2 linked regions of the Pelodiscus sinensis genome follow. The protein of the gene in region 2 purifies or fractionates together with the protein of the main gene of each other region. This does not show direct contact. Links are inferred from orthologs where the notes say so. Each region holds a gene or a part of one and is shown on either strand. Other genes may lie near its edges.

Region 1 (11,441 bases), on a different chromosome or scaffold from region 2:
AACCCTTTTCCAGGCCAGGATCTTTCTCCTGCACCCATACCTTCTCCTAGACCCTATACCTCAAACACCTGCCCTAGATAAAAACCAAACCCTCTGAACCCTCCTCCTCAGGTCATGACTTTCCCTCTTCCCAACTTTCCACCCCCTCCCTCACTTCTACCCCCAGGCCAGAATCCTCTCCTGCACTCCTAACCCCTATCAGATCTGTACCCCAATCTCCTGCCCCAGATCACAGCCCCCTCCTTCACCCAAACTCCCTCTTAGATCCCCATACCCTCTTCTGCACCCCAGTCCCTTATCCTGACCTCCCATCTGCACCCAAATTCTGTTCCAGATCCCACAGCCCCTCTATAAAAAAGTGCAGCCCTTGATTACTTACCAAAATCTTGGTAAAACTTAAAAAACAACAAATAGTCTGGTAGCACTTTAAAGATTAACAAAACAGGTAGATGGTATCTACAGCCCACTTCTTCAGATGTGCCCCACATAAAAAATGATGGCCCATCCCTGATCTAAACCACCCCCCACAGCTGTTTGTCTAACCTGCTCTTAAAAGTCTTAAATTATACAAACCTTGTAAAAGATACTCCAAAAACACATACAAGTATGCAAAAAGTTATCATGGTTCAGAATAGGGATGTTAAATATCAGTTAAATGAATAGTCAATTAACCTCATGAATTCTTATCGACTATTCCATAGTTCCCGGGGTTGGGGCAGGCAGCTCCACCCCCACTTCCGAGGAGCTCCTGCCAATCCACACTGCTGCCTCTAACAGAGGCAGCAAAATAGGGTGCCAGGTGGCACCGTGAGAGGAGCCCATTTAAAGAACAGCTCCTTTTGTGGACTAGCTGTCACCACGCACTGTTGCCTCCGATACAGAGACAGCAGAATTAGGTGGCAGCAACCTCTGTCCAGGGCAGGGAAGTCTGAGCTCCTGGGCCCCGGCGCAAGCTGGAACTGAGCCAGGCTGCCTGCCCACATGGCTCCCAATTACACTTTAAATGCAAAGTCACAGCAGGGGTAGGTCCTGGACCCAGTGCAAGCCAGGACTGAACCAGGCAACTGGCCAACCTGCTAAAAAATGTACTGGCAGGGGAGGGAGAAATGCATGTATTCTACAGAAGTAACCAATAAGCTTTCGTTTATCGGTTCACTGATTATATACTACAGGCAGTCCCCAGGTTACGTACAAGATAGGGACTGTAGGTTTGTTCTTAAGTTGAATCTGTATGTAAGTGGGAACTGGCATCCAGATTCAGCCGCTGCTGAAACTGATCAGTTTCAACAGCGGCTGAATCTGGACACCAGTTCTGACTTACATACAGATTCAACTTAAGAACCCCAGGCGTCCCCAAGTCAGTTGCTGCTGAAACTGATCAGCAGCTGATTCCAGGAAGCCTGGGGCAGAGCAACTCTGCCTCGGGCTTCCTGTAGTCAGCCGCTGGTCAGTTTCAGCAGCGGCTAACTTGGGGACGCCTGGAGCAGAGCAGCTCGGGTGCTGCTGGGTTGGTCCAGTAGCGTGGCCGCTCCTCGGCGCTACTGGACCAACCCAGCAGCACCCCAGCTGCTCTGCCCCAGGCGTCCTGATTCAGCCGCTGCTGAAACTGATCAGCAGCGGCTGAATCAGGACGCCTGGGGCAGAGCAGCTGGGGTGCTGCCGGGTTGGTCCAGTAGCGCTAAGGAGCGGTGCTGCGGGACCAACCGGCAGCGCCCCACCTGCTCTACCACAGGCCCCGGGCTTTGCTCCACGTCTCCCTGGTCTGCTGGGGGGGAGGGGGGGCACTAGCTGCGTCCCCCCCCCAGCAGACCAGGGAGACGCAGAGCAAAGCGGTGGAGGACCCGGGCTGGACAGTGGCGCTTCCAGATCAGCTGGAAGTGCCGCAGGTCCGGCCCGGGTCCTCCCCGGCTTTTCTCAGCTGGAAGCGCCGCGGGTCCGGCCGGGTCCTCCGCGGCTTTGCTCGGCGTCTCCCTGGTCTGCAGACCAGGGAGACGCCGAGCAAAGCCGCGTAGGACCCGGGGCCGGACCCGCGGCCGCTTCCAGCTGATCTGGAAGCAGCCGCGGGTCCGGCCCCGGGTCCTCCACCGCTTTGCTCCCCGTCTCTCTGGTCTGCTGGCTCCCCCAGCAGACCAGGGAGACCGGGAGCAGCTTTTCTCGCCCGGGAGGAGGCAGGCGGCGGGACCAGGCGTCCAACTGCTCCAGTCCTCCGGGGCGAGAAAAATCCCTGTTCGTAACTGCGGATCTGACGTCAGATCCGCGTAACTCGGGGACTGCCTGTATTACATTCCTACTTCAGAATTCAACACAACTTATTCAGACTTGTACCAATTCTAAAAATCCTGTAAAACTACACACTGCTAAACTATGAAAGCAGTAACAGTTTAAATCTGGACATGTCAACAACCACCAAATCCCAAACTGATTGTTTTAATAGAGTACTCATTTCAAGCCCTGACAGATCTTAGACTATTTAAAGCCTCTCATTCTATTTATCTTTCTTCCCAGTTCCTTGAGTTCCAACGTAATTTTAGCACCTGCTGTTATATTAAAAAAGCTGTATTCAGAATTAAAATTTAGGTCAAGCGGTTCATGAGACACTAGCCGCTACAATCTTATAAATATACACTGTAAAATGCTTGATATAAATAATTTAATGATCAATGTACTTAGGTAAACACGTGCCCCAAAACATTTCAGTCTTTGCCTATTGTTCAGACAAAACTGAAAACAGATTATACTCACCACTTCTCTAGGTTCATCTTCATCTTCTGCTTTTCTCTTTTTTGATGTTGTGTCCTGATGACCGCTAACATCTTCCTTTTCATTTCCAGCATCCTGCTCTTTAGCTGATGTTGTATTGTCCTCATCCAAACTGACAGCAGACTCTGCCTCTGAAGCTTTAGAAATTATTCTGTCTGCTTCCTCAACTAAGCTCTTTTCTAACTCTTGTTCTTCAACCTTGCTGGAATCAGACATGTTGGAGCTTATTCTTCGTGTTGCTTGATTAAACAGTATCAATTTTATTCCACAAATAAACTGTGGAAAAACGTGAAATATTACTTTGCATATAATGGATGCTTGTCCTCTGTTATATTATTATAAAAGCACTATCACACTCAATGGCTATAGAACAAATCCAAAGCTTTTACTGGACCTCAATATTCGATTAGTTATAAAGGGTCAACAAGGTTAAAAAGTTACACTGTAAGTGCATTCACTGGTTTTAGCACAGGCAACACCGAAGTTGCTGTAACAGTTTCTCTTTGTTCCGGTTTATTTTGTGCATTTGACAGGGCTGTACTGCAGCTACCTTCACTGTTTCACCTGCCCAGCAAACCCTGCTGAGGTGCTTCTGTCACACCCAAGAGGGGAAAGACACAATGAAGACGGTGGCCAAAAACCCCGGGCTGGCAGGAAGGCCTGGGGCAGACGCGGCCTCTCCCCTGCTCGCGCTGGGCTCTGACGGGGAGGGGGGGGCACTTCTCTCCGAGTCGAGAGGCAGGAGGGACCATCAGCCCCTCCGCTGTGTAGCTCGGGGCACCGGTGCCGCCCCGGCGTCCCTGACTCGGCCCAAGGCGGGCAGGAGACACCGCCCCCCCCTCACGTTCGACCCCGGGGGGGGGGGGGTGTCTCGCGCGCGGGCACTTGCCTCGCGCCGAAAGGAGAGAAGCGAGGGGCGGGGCTCCGGGGAGACCAGGCAGTGGTGGGCGGGGAACGCTGCTGCCGCAGCCGCCACCTCCCCCTTCCCCTCCGCTGACCAGCACGGGAGCCGCGGGGGAGGGGAGAGGGGGCGCCCCTGCTTTTCTCTTGGCGGGTCACCTTCAGGAACCACGCCCCCGGAACTCGAGAAACCCGAAAGGGCGGGGCGACGAGGCTAGAACAGCCCCCACCCCCAAACGCCAGGCCCGGGCTCCGCCCCTTCGGCCCATCTCTGAGTGTCTCACTGCCCCGCCCTCCCAGCGGCCAGGCCGCGGGCCGACAGTGGCGCGAACCCCACCCCGTCCCCTTAGCAACGGCGCCCACGCGCCCCCCCCCAACCGCCTTCCTCTGCGTCCCACCTAGCGCTCAACAAGCGACTGCGAGTTCCCACCCCCACGGCACCGCTTTGCCCCGCCCCCTTCCGTTGCCGCAGCGCGCGCGCGCAGCTCTCCCCTCCCCCGCGGCGCGAGCGGGAATGTGAGCGTCGGCCCCGCCCCCAAATTTCCCGCTCGGCGGATAGCAAATGGCTGGAGCCGCTGAAGCGGCGCGAGCGCACGGAAACCGCTTCTTCAGGGGACGCTTCGCTGCCACAGGGGCCCCACCGCCCCGCGCGCGGCTCCTTAGGAGCGAGAAACGCGCCGGCCCTTAAGCCTCTGCGCAGCGCTCACCAAAGCGGGCTTTCTGCCATGCTGTTTGCGGATGTGACGCGCATAGAAAGCCGCGAGCTGATTGCGTCGTTTCCGGTAATGGGGAGGAGCCTGCGAGAGCCGCAGTGGGGTACCGGCTGCGCACGCGCATACGTGACTCCTCGCCAGTCCAGGGCGCCTCGAAAGGGAAGGAAGTGGCCTGAAGAGCCGCGCCCCGCTGTTTCCCAGGACTACAGTCCCCATAAGGCTTTGCAGTGGCGCATGCGCAGTGTGAGCGATTGGGCCCGGGGAGGGGGTTTGCAAACACGTTGCCCGGGGGCAGAGCGAGGCCCCTGTAGCCCCGCGAGGAGAGCGCGGCTGCCGACCCAACCCTGCCGCCCGCCCGGGTCCCTGCGGCCGCGGCCTGATGGAGCGCAAGGTACCGATCCCCGCGCGCGTTCCGGGGGCGGGGCGTGACCCCGGGCGGGCTGGGGTCCCCCGCGGCGGCGCTTCGGTCCCGGCCCGTCCGCTGGCGGCGGGAATGTGAGCGCCCCCCGCCCCCTCCCCGCACACCCCCCGCCGCCAGCACCACTGCCCGCTGGAGAGGGGGCTCCTCCAAGGGACCCACGCGTCGGCCCGCGCCCACGAGTCAAGGCATTTCTGTTTGGTCCGACACGCGCTTGGGGGGGCTTGGAGTCCTTCTGTTCAGCTACCGCTGCTTTTATTGGGAACATATTGCATCGATGTGTTAGTAGGATGTGGCTTCAGCTGATGCAAGGAGAGAGGATCCTTTCAGACAGGGGTGGGGCCCTCAGAATTGAGGACATTATCTTCCAGGTTCTCCGATGTTCAGCTCCATTTTTGCCCCCCCCCCTCCCCTCCACTGCCCCCAGTGCCTACGGAGTGTTCGCGGTTTTCTTTGCTTCCATCTTGCCTCTCTGCTCACTTCCCTAGTCACCTTAGGACCAAAGCAGAAAGTAGCTGACTGAAATCAAATCAGGGTGAGAACTCTTTGTGTCAACTTCTATTGATAGCTGCTCTGTGGAACTCTCCACAGATGTCTGCTAATGACCTCTTGTAAAATACCAACATGTTATAACATTCATAGAGGACTAAAGGTGCCTTCTGGGTGTGTAGGACTTGGTGCCTACCTTCAGTGGGAATTGGATTCCTTGCTCTGCATGCCTTCATTGCAGTGTTAACCTGAGCTTTCACTACTCTGTTGTTACTAAGGTGACTTCTGTCAACAAACGTGCACAAACCTCCAATATGAATTTGGAGCTTTCAGTCTGAGTTAAGTTGGCCTGTATGGAGATATAGACTAAAATCTGAGAGCTGAATATGAGGTTGGTAACCTACACACTTTACATTGTGGATATAGGCTAAAGCGCTGGAGTGCTTTCTTTGCTCTCTGGGTTTGTTCTGGAAGAAGTATACATCTTCAAAACTTAGCTTAGTTTATACTTAAGTTTGGCTGGCATAACTATGTTAGTAAGAGGTGTCATTTTGCTACCAACATGGTTTTGTTCAAGGGAATTGGTCAGAAAGCCCTGGTATAAGTACTAGTATAGTTGCAGTTGTGCCATAAAAGTGCTTATATAGTATTATAACTATGTTTATGCTATGATGGTGTTTGCTATTTTAACTTTGCAGTAACTAGTTAATGCAGCAAAACGTTGTAGGCTTTTGTACCTTCCCTTTATCACACACACATCCTCAATACTCTCCTTAAAGAGTTTTCAGAGAAAAGTGACCTTTTAGCAAAAGAAGGTCAACATTCCTTTTAACTTTTACTTTCCATTTGTTGAATCCAAAAGTGCCAGGAAGGAGGAGCCCTCTTTCCCTGCATACATTTAAAAGAGCAGATAATGTGTCTTCTCAGTAGTGAATTATTTGATCATGTTACTCTACCCAACTCTCATCTCTGCTTTTCATAAGAGCAGAATACTTTTTTCCATCTTCACATCAGAGCTTTCAGACCAGTTTCCTTGAACTAAACTTTTAGCAATCTATTTGAGATTCTTCATAATCCACAAGAAATTTGGTATCCAAGGCTAATTCTTGCTCTAAAGTAGATGAACAAGTTATTAAAATATTAGGTAGCTTCCATAGGTTTTCAGTGGGTCAGCTACATTTTCAACAGACTTTTGTCTGACTTTTACTAAGATGATGATAGTCTGATGGTGAAGTCCTGTCTAAACCTCTTTCGCTTGCTTTGCCTGTTTGTCTATTTAGAGTGTGTGTCACTGGGGCTTCTAGGTGCTACTTGAATGCAAATATTAATTTGTGACCTCTTATTCTCTGAGGCTACATCTACATTGCAGGCTTCTTGCGCAGTAACTGTTTTACGCAAGAGTTCTTGTGCAAAAGGTCTTCCACAAGAGTGCGTCCACACTGCCATGTGCTTTTGTGGAAGAGATGTGCTTTTGTGCAACAGCGTCCGTGGCAGTGTGGACGCTCTCTTGCACAAGAAAGCTCTGGCCATTTTAGCCATAGGGCTTTCTTGAGCAAGAAATCCCTGTTGCCTGTCTACACTGCCTTCTTGTGGAAGAGCTCTTGCAGCTCAAGAGGGCTTATTCCTCATGGGGAGAGGAATAACTCTTGCACAAGAAGCCCCGCTTTCCGACGCTTTACTGTAAATTTACTTGCTCAAGAACATGCGTGCAGTGTAGACGTTCTGCAAGTTTTTGCGCAAGAACAATCGTTCTTGCACAAAAAGCCTGTAGTGTAGACATAGTCTAAGTTTCAGGGAAATACTCTTTACTCTTCTATGAAGAGTTCTGATCCTTTCATTGTTCCCAATTGCTTCCCCCACCCTCAATGTTTCAGTTCTTACAAATTATGCCTCACCACACCTTTTGCCTGTTTCATGATCCTACACTAAAACACAATTCAGTGCATGCTGCACTGACAATTCCAGAGGTAAAGTTTCTTCTGTTGTGCAGAAAAACATTTTTACTATATAAAATTAGCTCTGGGTAGGTCCTGTGTTATTTGTGGAGACTTGAAAGGGGAAATGCTCCTTGGCCAACTCTTCTGGGCACCCTATGGATCTGCCATCTGATGTTACCCAAAATCTGATATTGTCCACGAGTAACAGTTAAACAATTACAAACAGTTGTACAACTGTTCTGGTGATTGTCATCCACTATCAGAAATAATGCTCTTATAGCTCTATTCCTGCCAGTACGGTGACTTGAGAGATTTTTTCCAGCCAAGAATGGAGAAGGAAAAAAGTTTAAAGATACTTACCTATTGGCTGTTTGGTGGATCTTGGCTCCAGCACATGCCACTTGATCATCTTCCTTCCTCAGAGAACATTAGAGTAACCAAGAAACTGGTTTTTAGATCTTAATTTAGATATCTTTTCTGTTTTTTCCCTATGCTTTTTTTTTCTCTGAAGCAGAAGTAATTATACATTGAAGTACAGCCCTTAGCAATCAGACTTTTTTTCATCTCATCTCCTGGAATTCAATATGATTTTTGGAGGTTACAATGGGTCCCACAATATTCCTGCTGTCTTTGTTCCTACAGCAGCAGAATAAACTTGCACTTGTTGGTACAGGTTTCATTCTCAGACAGCAAGCATACATTAACAGTTCAGTCAGTAAGAGATTCTCTTTTCTATCTATAAAAAGGTTTTCCTGCTGGATGACAGAGTGACGTCATCATGTCACTCTGCATCCCACAACCCCTCCCCCCTCAGCGGTCCCATCTCCTCCTGCTTGCCTGCTGCTAACCCAGCTGGGATAGGGAACACATGGCTCCTGAGCAGCAGCACTGAAGATAAGCTGCAGCTGCTGGTGGGCTCCTGGGGAGGGAATAAGGGGGCCAGCAGATAGTCCCGCTTTAGCGGGGATTAAAAAAATTCTGGCAGGGAGGGTGGGCGAGGGCTGCTGGAAAGGCTCACTGTTAGGGGGGCACTGGCCCCTGAACTGGGCAGGGTGGCAGCCGGGCCTGGATGGGCCTCTGGCAGCCACCACATGGCAGACTGCTGGGAGTTTCAATTTCTGCTTGAGATGTATGGGGGGAGGAGGCAGCGGCAAGGCAGAGGCCCAATGTGAAGAGAGAGGATCGGAGGCAGGGGTCACCCCAGCTCCTGAACCGGGACTCAATGTCCCTCCGGCAGCTGCCCGCCCAGGGGGCAACAATGCTGCCACGCCTCAGCCTGGCCCTCCCCAGCAGCTGGGAGGAGAGCCAGGGCTGCCTACCCCCGAAGAGGGGGGTTGGTGAGTGTAGCAAACGGGGCATAGCCCCCCGAGTATGCTTATAAAACTGGTAACTTTTTTATGTCCAGCTCTTCTTCCCCTTCTTAGGTGCTCCAAATTATAAACTCTCCTCATGCTGCCCCTATTCTTCCTCCCCCTTTTTTTTCCAGGAGTTGGAAGATACAGAGGAAACATCATGTTGTTATGGCAAGAAAAAATTGGCTACTGCCATTTTTTTCAAAAGTTGTATTATTTTCTAATACAATATAATGTGGTAAGAAGCCATTAATAAATGCTAGTAGTTGGTTGCAATAACTTCTGAAATTGAAGTGTGATTCTGTAAGGATTCAGTAGAGGGCAGAATAAAACTTCTAAAGAAAAGAGCCAAGATAATTGTTCAGTATTAAGGAGCAGAGATACTGAGTGGTTACTATGGATTTGGAATTATCACCACCCCCCCCCCCGCAAGAAAGTTATAGAACTGGTGACTGCATTATGGTGCAGAAATGTAATAGCCTAGAAAGTGCTATAAAGAGTTTGTATATTGTATTTTTAAGAAGCTGTGAAGATTTAATTTAGTGTGGTGTTAAAAGGTAGAACTAAGTACAATGTAGAACTTAAGATCTCTGACTCCTGTCAAAGTAAAGGCGGGGGTGGGAGTATTTCTGTCACTTCTAGTTGGATGCAGATGAGCTAATTTGCATCCCATCAGTATAAAGATGAATTGAAATGCTTTTTAAATCAGTAGAAACCTACTGTTTAACATCCCACATCTTTAACTGACTACACAGATATAAAATATAGCTCTTCTACTTATATACTGTCTAATATTTTTTCCAAAATTCTATTGTGAAAACTTAAAGATCTTTTTAAAAAGATGTTCCCTATTCTGCTAAAGGTCTGTCTACATTATAAATACTGCTTTGTCAATGTAGTCAGTTACAGCAGTGAATATTAGGAATATAAAATCCTGGTTAATAAGTTAACAGGTTAAACAGGATGCTTACTGGGTAACTGGTTAACCCTTTACATCCCTAGTGAATATATTCAGATCTCGATATGGACTTAACTTGTCCAAGGTTTTATTATGGTTCTGTGATATAGCTAGATCCATCTGTCTACAACTACATTGTGACCAAGCGAAGGTTAGACACAATTATGTAAAAAAGTTGGTGACCACTGACCAGACTCTGCTAGTGTTAGTACTAGTGAAGCACAGTAGTGGGAGATCTAGAAGTGCAAGTGAAGAGACAGCCACATGTGAAAATACTACAGAGAATAAACCCTTGTCTACACTATAGTTTTGTTGACAAATGTTATGCTGTCGTACAGCCACTGCTTTAATTAAACCCCTGTTCTAGAATGTTACGCTGGACCAGTCTTGAACAAACACAGCCGCTGGATTTTTTTCCTAGTTAAATCACTTAGCAAAATAGTCAACACTGTCACATTTTAACATCATAGTTCAATAACCAATTTAAAGACCTGCTGATACTTCATGGAAAAAATAGAAAACTTTGCATATATGTGTCGGCTCATCTGTTTGGCTATGTCTAGACTGGCATGATTTTCCGCAGAAAAGCGTCCGTGCCAGTCTAGATGTGCTTTTCTGCCATTTTAGCGATCGGGGCTTTTTTGCGGAAAACAAATCTGAGCTGTCTACACGGGCCCTTTTGCGCAAAAGGAATTTTGCCCGAACAGGAGCAGCATAGTATTTCCGCAAGAAGCACTGATTTCAGACAGTAGGAAGTCAGTGTTCTTGCAGAAATTCAAGCGGCCAGTGTAGACAGCTGGCAAGTTTTTCCGCCAAAGCATCTGCTTTGGCGGAAAAACTTGCCCATCTAGACACAGCCTTTGTGTTCAACAATAGCCCTCAGATCCTATGATACAAAAACACTGTCTATCAGTTATATGTGCATTTGGTTTTGTTTCCAAAGCATAGTGCTGTGCTTTTAACATTATTTAATTTCATCTTGTTGATTTCAAACTAATTCCTCACTTTGTCTAGGTCATTTTAAATTCTAATCCTGTCTTCCAAGTATCATCTGCACATTTTAAAACTATAGCTATAATATATCAGCTGGGGATTCCCTCGCTGACCCTGGGCTTCATGCGGCGCTGCCGCTTTGAAATGCCAGGTAGAGTCTGGGATCAGTTGGGGACTCCCCCAACTGACCCCAGATCAATGCCGTGTGCCAGCTTTGAAATGTACAACAGTCCCCAGCGGTGGCTCTTGTGGATTTCAAAGAGGAAGCGTTTGTGTGGAGCCCAGAGTCAGCAGGACTTCCCACTGGCCCAGGGCTCCGTGCAGCATTCCAACTTTGAAATGCATTTCAAAGGCAGAAGTGCTTATTGAGTAGTGAATGGAAATTCCATCAACTACTCGACTAGCAAATTAATCGTTACTTAACATCCCTAATAGGGACCCTGCACAGAGCCAGGACCCCTCCTGTGGGAGGGATGGTAGCCAGGAGCAGAGGATGCAGGGGCTGGGGTGAGGAGGTAATGTGGGAATTGGGGGCTGGGGTGCGATGGGGTCAGGCTCAGAGGTTTGGGGGTTTTTGGAGTAGTTTGCCACTTGTGTGGTCCCCTACTGATAGTTTCCCATCCCTGCCATAAATAAAGAAAATATTGAAATCTTGTGTTAGACATAAATTAATATTTTACTTTATTTAAAGTGAAGTTTGATGAACTAACATGAGAAAGTTAAAACACTTAATCTGTTTAATAATTTAAATTAAGCCACAGCACTAGCCAAATGGCTTGGTTGTAGTTATGTAATTAACGGTGTGCTTCCCTTACCAACTGGTGGTCTGTGAAAAGGTTTGCATTAAGCCAGGTGGTCCATGGACCAAAAAGTTTGAGAAGCACTGCACTAGAGGGTGAGTGCTGCCTGAGTGGTGGAGGG
Region 2 (10,919 bases):
ACACAATCAATTATGACATTACTAAACACATGTTCAATGCTCCAGAAAAATGCATACAATCAAGCAACCACCCATCTAGTTAAACTTGGTATGCTAAATAAACAGTCCAATAACATTTATATGCCCAACAAGCACAGCAAAGAGCCATCTGCTGAGCTCGTCTCTACATTGCACACATTACAATAGTACAGTAATACTATATTTGACAAACATACATGGACTATCGGTACAATGCTTGAAGAGGAAGAGTTAACACCATCCTACCTTAATGGCATTTTCTGACTTTTGAACACAGTCTTACTGGGTCAGACCAGCGGACCATCCAACCCCATATCCTACCTTCCAACAGCATCCAGTGCCAGAGGCTTCAGAGTGAATGATAATTGCCCTTTTCCGTTCAAGTGATCCATCCCCCACTGTCCAGTCCCAGCATACCATGCTCCCTTAACAGTCTATTCGTGTAGGACTGGGGTGGCCAACCCATTAAATGAAGAGCCGAAACAGCGACAGAAAAAAAAATGCAAAGAGCCGCACCAAAATTGTTGAGCCAACCAAAAAAAGCTCCCCAACAGCCAGAGTTGAGAAAAGACACCGCCCCTTTAAAAACCACAGGCAGGCTTTTTGGCCACGTCAGGCTCCCATTGGCCACCACCATCTTGCTACACCGGACAGCTCCCCTACACTCGGTGAGTACAGGGGACCAGGGGCCAACTGTAGGGGTACGTGGGTGGCTTCACGAGCCATACTTTCAGGGATGAAGAGCCGCATGCAGCTCGCAAGCTGTGGGCTGGCCACCTTGGTGTAGGCTTAGAACGCAGAGTCAAAGCTGAGCACTGGCTCCCATCTGCCCCCTCCCAACTCCTACTACCTCTATGTAAGCCAGCAAAGGAGAGGTAGGGGGAAGGCAGCTCCACAGAGCCAGAATGTACAGAGAGCCAGCTCCCCATGCATATCAGCTCCTGCCTCCAAGAGACAGTAGCATGGCCGAGCAATTCCACAGGATCCAGTGCTTGTGGGAGCTGGCTTAAAAGTCAGCACATCACGGGCACCAGCTCCTGCCTCCCCCATATCCTTGCTGCCTCTGTATCAGAAGCAGCAAGGGAGGGATGGGATGCATATAGTCAACAAGATTAACAATCACATAGTCCACTACACGTTAAAATCGCTAGTGTTTAAAACAGTCTTTATAGCCATTTTAATAGCGATGTTATAACAGTTTGGTCCCGATTACCCATGGAAGACCTAGATATGGGCAACATAACTGTGGCACTATCCTGCAAAACTTTAATGCTCTAACACAGCAGAGGGGGCTGTTGAGACAGGCCCACGGAGACAGTTCAGTTTTCTCCAGTCACCAGCTCATGTGGCATCTCCATCACCAAAAATCAGTGGAATTCCATTCTGTACAATCCTCTACTAATCTAATCAGCTTCTGTGAAGATTAAAATTTAAAGTAATTCAAGATCCCGTCATGTTCATTAAGGAGGGACTTGATACTAGGCCATATTCACAGGATGGATGAAGACTAGCTAGCAACAGCTGGATTTGAACCTTGTGCGGCTAGAAGGTTTTGGAATGGTTTTCTTGACATCCAGTAGACCAGGGCTTCCCCTGCCCCAACCCAAGAACCATAACGCAATAGTACTACAGACAGGAGAGGTAAGCTATATAGTTCAGTTTCCAGAAAAGTAATTCCTCTTTGTGCTGCTCAGAGAGCAACGCTACAAAGCCACAAACACTTACACTAAAACAGTTGTTGGAAGCCAAGAATAGGGCATCAACAAAACCCCACATTGGTGAAGATGAGCAGAAGTCTGCTCCTCAAGATAAAATACAGCTGCAGAACAGAGCAGCATTTTTAAGCCTCATTCCTGGCTGACCTCAGGCTCTCTTCCCTACTAAGTCGCTAGGAAACAGTCCTAGGTTGAGCCCACATACACAGTGAAAGTTTTGCCTCAGAACTGGACTTTGGTAAAAACCACACAGAGTTGGCATGCCATGGATTAGGGAGAATTGGTCCACCGACCTTCAGGAAGTATGGAAGCTCCTCTGTTCAATGAGAGGAAGGGACTGGGGTTAGCATCATTTTGCAGAAAGTAGCAGACAGCAAGAATCTTATTGTTTTAATCTTCATACATACACTGAGTGTTGTTTAGGGGTGGCAAAGGTCCCAGTAGACAATACCCGGCTCCAAAGAGTTGGTTAAAAACACACACACACACACACACGATTCCTCCCCACCTTGTGCAAGTTACAGTTGGCATACCAGCCTAACATTCCTATCCCCCCAAAATCCATGAAAAGTACAACTGTGGTCCATCTTTTTCTCCTCCTATCTACCAAGTATTGCTGATAAAGAAGCCGAACCAAATACTCTTGGCCGAGCCACATTTAAAGCCACGATCCAGCCCCTTCCTTTCAAGATGAAAGGGGCAGTCCCGCCGCCACTTCTGGGGTGGAAGACACCAGCCAAGAGACCCACCGCAAACTCAAGAAGTGAAAGGCGGGGGCAGTGTTTGCCTCGGGCCCTGGGGCCCCCCGCAGCTGCGAGGCACAAGGCTGGGGGGGGGGCACCTCGCACAGAGGTCCCGTGTGAGGGCTGTTCCAAGGGCTCTCGCTACAGCCCACCAGCTGGGGGGGGGGGGGTTCCACCCAGGGACGGGGCGGGGGGGCCGGCAGGTACCGGGGGGGGGCAGGCAGCGCTCGGCATGAATAAGCAGAAGTGTCCCCAGGCAGAGGGGAGCGGGGGCCCCGCCAGCCGCCTCCCCCCACCCCGCGCAGGGCAGCTGGACGCAGCGGCGCCCCCCGCCGGCCACTGCCCGAGGAGGGGGAGGGGGAACCAGCCCCCCCACAGGGCAGACCCGCCCCCTCGAGCCAGGCACCCCGGGGGCCGGCGGGAGCAGGGGCGCGTAGCCCCACCCCGGCGCTCCGAGACCCGGGTGACGGGCGCGGGCTCAGGGCCCGGGCCGCAGGGCAAGGGGCGGCCGGACCCGCCGGGCCGGAGTCTCCCGCTGGCAGGGCGCAGAGGAACCGCCGCGGCCTCCCCACCCGCCCCGCTCACCCATCTCCGGCTCCTCAGGCTCCGGCTCGAGCTGCGGCGGCCACAATATGGCGGACGGGGGCGGGGGAGGGCCGGGAGCGAGAGAAGGGAACGGCGGCCGGGAAGGGACAAACCTCCCCGCCGCGCGCGCCGCCCTTTAAAGGGGCAGAGACAGCGCGGGGGGAGGGGGGAGAGGCGCTTCCTCCCTCCCTCTGCTGAGCTGTACGGGGCGGGGCCACGGCGGCTGGTGCTGGGGCCCAAGGCCGAGGCCTGATAGCGCCCGTGGGCTGGAGGTGGCAGGGCTGGGCCACGCCCTGGGAGCCAGCCTGGTCCCCCTGCTCCCGCCCACCTGCCACCTGCTTCCCCCCTGCCCTGCCCTGCCCCCACCCGCCCTGCCCACGCCACCCACCCCCTGCCCTGCTCCCGCTCCCACCCGCCTTGCCCACGCCACCCACCCCCTGCCCTGCCCTGCCCTGCTCCCGCTCCCACCCGCCCTGCCCACACCACCCACCCCCTGCCCTGCCCTGCTCCCGCTCCCACCCAACCTGCCCACGCCACCCACCCCCTGCCCTGCCCTGCCCTGCTCCCGCTCCCACCCAACCTGCCCACGCCACCCACCCCCTGCCCTGCTCCCGCTCCCACCCGCCTTGCCCACGCCACCCACCCCCTGCCCTGCCCTGCCCTGCCCTGCTCCCGCTCCCACCTGCCCTGCCCACGCCACCCACCCCCTGCCCTGCCCTGCTGCCGCCCGCCCTGCCCACGCCACCCACCCCCTGCCCTGCCCTGCTCCCACCCGCCCTGGCCACGCCACCCACCCCCTGCCCTGCCCTGCTCTCGCTCCCACCCAACCTGCCCACGCCACCCACCCCCTGTTCTGCCCTGCCCCCACCCGCCCTGGCCATGCCACCCACCCTCTGCTCCCGCCCGCCCTGCCCACGCCACCCACCCCTTCTCTGCGCCTGCTCCCGCCCGCCCCACCCATGCCACCCACCCTGTGAGTTCATTCAAAGGGGCAGAGTGGTGGAGCCCGGGATCAGCGGGGGACTCTAAGTCCCCCGATGACCCCAGGTTCCATGAGGGCGCTGTGTCTTTGAAGTGCACAAGAGCCCCCACTGGGGCTCTTGTCCATTTCAGGAGGAATGCGAAAGTGCCTATCGACTAGTCAGTTAACCGTAATTTAACATCCTTAGGTAGGAGCATGATTTCATGCTGGAGAGCACATAGAATGTGATTCCCCCACCCCCCCAAAAAACCAGCTGCGTGGTATGCTAATGTAACCCACACACCTAGTGTGGTTACTGCGCAATGCAAGTGGTACCTAGACCACAGCAACAGTTAAGATCAAGAGACCTCTACAGCATGGGCTGGGAGCCAGCTGGCTTTTAGCTCAGAGGGTGGAGGCTCCTCTAGTCAGCCCCCGATTCAAACCCGCCCGGCGGCGGTTACACTAGCAGCATCCATCCTGCTGGGAAAGGATTAACTGGGTCCTGTTGATTCACTAAGGGCAGTGGGAGTGATTTCTCAGGGAGCTCGAGGGCATCCTGTAGAAAGAGCCCCGGGAACAGCCAAACCCTGGGAAATGGCGCCCGTTGGTGTTTGTTCTCCCGTTGTTAATCAAGAGAAGAGGACGTGGCTGACAGTGGGGCAGAACCTGTCTAGAATAAAATTCTTCCTAGGAATGTTCACCCTAGTTAGAGGAGGCAGCACCTTCCCAGTTGTGTTCCTCTCATCTTCAAAGGGAGAGGCGTGTGGGGGAAGCGACAAAGGAGACCACCCAGCTGTTGTCCCCATTTGCTCGGGAGGAACTCTCCTCCTCCTTCCCACACACTCTGTCCCATGGGGAGCCTTGAATTTATTTTCCCTCCTGTTGATTAGGGCTGAATTATGACTTTCGAGGGCCCGAGGCACTTTTGCCTTTGTGGGCCTCTTCCTCCATAAAAAAAAAAAATATTAAAAATTATTTTTGATACAACTTTAAATACTTCAACGTTTTATTTTTTTTCTGTTTTAGGCAAAATGTAATAGATTTTCGTGGGCCCTAAAAGTTTCATTTTTTTTCTTCTGATTTTAAAAGAAATTAAAACATTTTCGTGAGCCCCTAAAAGTATCCTGAGCCCTAGGCACTGTGCCTAATGGATAAGTCGGCCCTGCTGTTGATGAGGCACAGCTGCTGCCAGCACCTTCTCCTGCCTATCAGCCCATGTCTCCAGCCCTGGCTGCTCGGCCACTCCCAACGAAGGGCTTTCATTTTGTCACAGCCCCGCCAAAGATAAGTCACATACCACCCACTTGTAGCGTGGCTGGGGGCACTTCCCTTTCCCCACCCTTGGGAGAAGAAATCAGCATCGAGGTGATTCTGCCTCCGGCGCCACAGGACAGGGAAGAAAAAGCCATCTAGTCACTCCAGTTTTCGCTTTGCTTGGAGAGGAGCACGCCGTGATGACAGTGTATAGAGTTCCACCAGCCAGACATCAATGGCAGAATGGCTGTGCCAAAGGAAAATTTTATGGTCCCTGACACAGAACGGGTCAGCTCCACATCCTGTCTTCTAACCGCTTGGCGTTTGCCTCACATGCTCCAGCAATTTTCACCACTACACTGCTGGAGACGGGAGCACAAGTCGACAGTTCCCGCAGATAAAGCTCCAGCTGATCAACCCTCAGTAGTTTATTATTTAAAACACACGTGGACGGGCTGGGGGCTGGTCTCTGTTCTTTTACCCACCTCCTGCTTTAGTTCGTGATTCGAACTAGGAGGGTAATGTAGGCATACCGCACTTGCAAATGAAGCCCGGGATTTGAATTTCCTGGGCTTCATTTGCATAAACCGGGCGCCGCCATTTTTAAATCCCGGCTAGTTCGAACCCCGTGCCGCGCGGCTACACGCGGCACGGAGTAGCTAGTTCGGATTAGGCTTCCTAATCCGAACTAGCTGTACTCCTCGTGGAATGAGGAGTACAGCTAGTTCATTTGCAAGTTCAAACTAGCGGGGTAGTGTAGACATACCCTGAGAGATTCCCAGTTAAATACCTTGCCGATCAATGGACAAAGGGCAGGATTGGCATGAAGGAATTAGAGGAAGGGCAGCAAAAACCTCAGCCAAAAATCCTGAGAAACTATTATTGTTCCTTGAGAAGAATGGTTTGGTATACGTTGAACCTCTCCAGTCCGGCACTTTCTGGTCTGGCAACATCCATGGCCCAGCATGATTTTAGTTAGCCGGATGGCCACTTAACATGGGTGTGGCCAAGTTTTCCATGGTCACATAAAGTTTGTTTACAGCCACCAGCCCTGGCTCTGCTCTGTGCTGTGATGTAGCTCTAATTTACCTCTACATGTCTTCACAGCAGTGGAAGTGGTGGTAATGCTGCTAGACCAGTGCTGGGCAATAGGCGGCCCGCAAACACTTTGATCCAGCCCGCGCACTGCATCTGGCTGCTTTCTATTTATATCCTGCCGCCCGTACCACCAAATTTCCAGGCGGTGGCTCAGGCAGCAAGGATGCATTTAAATGGCTCATAGCTCCCAGTCGCAGCACTATCCCAGCAGAGGTCACAGCCTTGAGCCTTTTAAATACAGTCATTCCTCATTTAACACGTGCCCACTTAACACGTTTTCGCGATAGCACGATTTTTTTTTTTTTAGGGAACGTTTTTTGAATGACACAACCGTCCCCGGAATAACACGATTTCCCCAGCTGGCCCGTCGCCAGTGGCTGCATGGGGCTTCCCCCGCCTCCCTGCAAAGCAGCGGAGGGTTTGCCGCTCACCGCGCCGTTCCTCACTGCCTCCCCCTCACCGGACGCCTTGCCCCCTCTCCTCTGGCCCCACTTGCAGGCCGGCGGCTGGGTTTCCCCAGCCTGCCCATCACCAGCGGCTACGTGGGGCTTCCCCCGCCTCCCTGCAAAGTGGCGGAGGGTTCGCCGCTCGCCACGCCGTTCCCCAGTGACCCCCCCTCGCCGGACACAGAGCGGGTCCCGGCAGACCAGTCACAGGGGCATGCTCCCAACCCAGTCCCCCTCCCTTCTCCTCCCCTTCCCGTCCGCAGAGCCAAACACCTCCCCTCTCTGCTGTAACCCCGTCCCCTTTCTCCCCCGACCTTATGTCCCGGTCCCAACAGACACCACCGCTTGAAATGCAACCCCCACCTTTTCAATGGGGAAATTGACCCTGCATAACACGTTTTCACTTAACACAATCATTCTCTGAAACATCTCTCTAGTGTTAAATGAGGAATTACTGTAGTCCCAGCCACCCTGGGCAGCTGCCAGGCAACGCAGTAGTGATGGGGCCCTGAGCCCTTTGCTGTGGTTTTTTCAAAGCCTCCAGCCCCAGACAACTCGGGGGGGGGGGGGGGAGGCTAGTGCCCAGCCCCACCCCTTCGACTCCAAGCCCCACCCACTCCAGGGTGGAGCCGCCCTGTGACCATTTACCAAAATTAATAAAGTGGCCCCACTGCAAAATGATTGCCCACCCCTGTGCTAGATAATATTGGCCTCTTGTGGTTGGGCAAATTCTCTGGTTTGGCCCCAAGGGTGCTGGAGTAGAGAGGTTCAACCTGTAGTTACATAGGTACCATCGACGTGTGTCACTGCTGTTTGTCATCTTCATTGGAGGCTTCTTAGGTCAAGAACAGCGGGTTGTCCCTGATCCCTCCCCCCGCCCCGTCCTCTCACCCGGCGTGTGTCACTGACCCTTATGCAAAGCAGTTAACTGCTTCCAAATCAGAATGCTGGTTGCATCCATCTTGCACAGCTGTAAGGCTCCATCTGGGGCAGAAGAGAAGCAGAACCCCTCCGATATTGCAGATTAAACATTAAAATCCCGACCCCGGGCTAGCCCTGAGTTAAAGCAAAGACCCGTCCCAGGTCCAGCGTTTGCTTCAACCATTTTCCAAGCCAGCTTGTTCAAGGGAGTGAAGGACAACCGTAGAGATTTCGCAGTTGGCAGGAAAGAATTCCTTGGTTGCAAAGCGTCGCGGGGCAGCTGTCACAGGGCACAGAACACTGGACTCTCGCCGCTGACTAGATGAACACACAGGGCTTAAAAGCAAAGTTTTATTGTGGGGCTCCCAGACGGCCAGTTCGTGCCAGGCAGGTAGGGCCAGGGGAAATCCAGAGACCTGCTGCATCTCGGTGAAAACGACATCTAGCAAGTTCAGTCACCCACTACAAATGCTTCAAGAGCTGAGGTAGCCACTTCCTGGCTCAGTGGCACACAGCCTGGGAAGGCAAGTGAGAACGGAGACAAGGGGTCACCCAAGAGTGGCCCAGTTGACTGGGACAGGTGAGGGCTAGGGATGATAAAATGTGGGGGGGGGGAGGCAGGAGCCAGTGCTCATGGGGAGCTGGCTTTAAAATCACCTGCCCCCCCAATGCTGCCTCTGTATCGGAGGCATCAGCGCAGGGGGCAGGCACCAGCTCCCACCTGCCCCCCAGCCCCGCTGCCTCTGTGGGAGGCAGCAGTGGGGGGAAGGGCATGTGGCTTCATAGGAGCCAGCACATGCTGGAAGCTGGCTTAAAGACAGCGCCCCACATGTACCAGCTCCCTCCTGCCCCTCCCCCCATGCTGTTGCCTCTGATACGAAGGGGGGAGGATATTAAGCTTGGCGGTAGCCAGTACATGCAGGGAGCCAGTATGAAAGCCAGCTCCCTGTGCATTCCAGCTCCCACCATGGGCTGCTGCCTCTGTATTAAAGGCAGCAGCTGAAGGGGGAGCAGGCGGATCAGTAGAGAGGCAGCTGTGTGGAGGCTCATCAGTTTACCCTTTACACCAGGCATGTCAAACTCGAAGCCTACTGAGGGTCGCACAAACGGAAACTGATCGCTTTCAGGGCCACCAAAGAAAATGTGCTTCTATTGGAAAGTCATAATGATTTATTATCATGGTTTAGGCATATTTTATACTTTTTCAGGTCTTGTTTTAATATAATACAATCACTTGATGTGTCAAATTGTTATTTGCCCATATAAAATATTTTTTTAATTTAAATATAAATTGAAGGTACTTTTTAATTTTGTATGATACATAACTTGTTTTGTGGAAATAAAAACAAGTATAGACCGAGCTTAATCAAATAGAACAGGCTTCTGTGAAAATTTCAGATACTTTGTAAGTTTGACATTTTGGATAAATATATATTATTCGTGCAACTGCAAAAAATTGACATTTATTGATATACATTTTATGATTTTATTTGGGAATAAATAAATACAAAACAAAACATTAACAAAATATTCCCCTCCTTTCCCCCAGAGCCAGGCACTCCCATTCCCCCATTCTAACTCAATCCCTCTCTGCTCCCCCAAAACCAGGCCCCCCCTACCTAATGCCTCCCACCTCCCCCAGAGCCAGGCATTCCCAGCCCCCCCAACCTAATGTCTGGGTCTCAGAGTCGCTGGCGACGCCACACTTTCCTTCCTCAGGTGCTGGGGTGGCGTGAGCAGGCACTTGATGCCTGTGCAGAGCAGCTGGCCAGTCGTGAACACGTGCTGGAGCACCCAGCTCCGAGCGGCCTGGCCGGCCGAGAGCAGTAGTTGCAGCACTGAGCGTAGAGTGGCCGGTCAGCCGGCTGTGATCTGCGCTTGGCCACGTGCTCCGAGTGGCCAGCAGGACGCACTTTATTCTTTTATAAAAATGTAGTGGCGGGCCGCAAAAAATATTGATTGGGCCGCATGAGGCCCTCCGGAGGCTTGTTTGACATGCCTGCTGTACATGGATACACATTCACATCCCTAGCGGGGGCTGAGGATAGTGCCGATCGCAGGGGATCCTTTTTCCAGTCTGCAGGAAGCCTGCAAGTCACTGGGCAGAAACAGCTGAATTTTCTCTGCTCTTTGTGCACAATTGGTTGTTTCTACAAAATAAAACACAAGCCACGCTTATAGGATTTGTAAAGAACAAATTATGTCAAACCACCTGATACTTTGACAGGCTAACAAGGAGAAAGCAGTAGATGAGGTGTAGCTAAGTATACGTCAGGGCTCTTTTCCTCTGGCTTTAGCAAGGAGGGAAGATTTGGGAGGGACCAACATTTTTTATGTCCAGCTTCTGTCTGCTTTTAGCAGCAGTAGAGGAGGTGTAGCTAGACTTAAGGTATTTGATACAGTCTCACATGACCTCATTAAGAAACTAAGGAAATACAAGAAAGGGCGTAATGAGTGGGTTCTGCAGGGATCGTTTCTGGGACTGGTTCTGTTTAACATCTTCATCAACAATGTAGATATTGGCATAGACAGTATGTTTATAAAGTGTGCAGAGGATACCAAGCTGGGAGGGGTTGCAAGTACTTTGGAGGACAGGGTCATAATTCATAGGATCATAGAACTAGATCAGTGGTTCCCAACCTTTTCACTAGTGCGGACCCCCAATCACTCCCCCCAAACTGTTTGCAGACCCCCAATCACTCCCCCCAAACTGTTTGCAGACCCCCATCAAAGCCAATTCTAGCCTCAATTCTAGTAGTGGGGTATTTTCTCACTTTTACTGTTTGATTAGCTGTTCCACTTGTGGATGCCTCACTCTGCTCAGTCTCCTTTCTCTTCAGCGAGCCGGATTTCGCCACAGATCCATGTTGAACGTATGGCTAACGTGTGTACGCTTCTAACCGTCATGATCGTTTCGTCACACAAAGGCGCCACAACATAGATTTTTGGACCACAATTCATAACATTATTGGAAAATATTTAATTTAAAAACAACATTGTAACTTTTCAATTTATTTAAAAAATATTTTCTATTTTTATTTACCTTTAATTTTTCCATGGACCCCCTGCAATACCCTCGCAGACCCCCAGGGGTCCGTGGACCCCAGGTTGGGAACCATTGGTCTAGAGATCATCTCTGATAAGTGTCTGTCCAACCTGCTCTTAAATCTCTCCA

Evidence for each region.
Region 1: the proteins of KPNA6 (region 2) and RNMT purify together in Homo sapiens (co-immunoprecipitation; 3 studies listed by BioGRID and IntAct, counting the BioPlex papers as one, with this or other methods). This does not show direct contact. The link is inferred for Pelodiscus sinensis from reciprocal best matches to the Homo sapiens genes KPNA6 and RNMT.

Annotation. Positions count from the first base shown.
Region 1 is NC_134712.1:88,380,817-88,392,257, reverse strand, and holds the start of RNMT (mRNA cap guanine-N(7) methyltransferase), read right to left. Parts: upstream 4,511-11,441; 5' UTR 4,368-4,510; intron 4,082-4,367; exon of another isoform or gene 4,059-4,081; intron 3,590-4,058; exon of another isoform or gene 3,311-3,589; intron 3,037-3,310; 5' UTR 2,977-3,036; coding exon 2,743-2,976; intron 1-2,742. UniProt on the Homo sapiens protein: Catalytic subunit of the mRNA-capping methyltransferase RNMT:RAMAC complex that methylates the N7 position of the added guanosine to the 5'-cap structure of mRNAs. Binds RNA containing 5'-terminal GpppC.
Region 2 is NC_134735.1:3,505,308-3,516,226, reverse strand, and holds the start of KPNA6 (importin subunit alpha-7), read right to left. Parts: upstream 5,402-10,919; 5' UTR 5,387-5,401; coding exon 5,323-5,386; intron 3,203-5,322; exon of another isoform or gene 3,066-3,202; coding exon of another isoform or gene 3,062-3,065; intron 368-3,061; exon of another isoform or gene 353-367; coding exon of another isoform or gene 340-352; intron 1-339. UniProt on the Homo sapiens protein: Functions in nuclear protein import as an adapter protein for nuclear receptor KPNB1. Binds specifically and directly to substrates containing either a simple or bipartite NLS motif.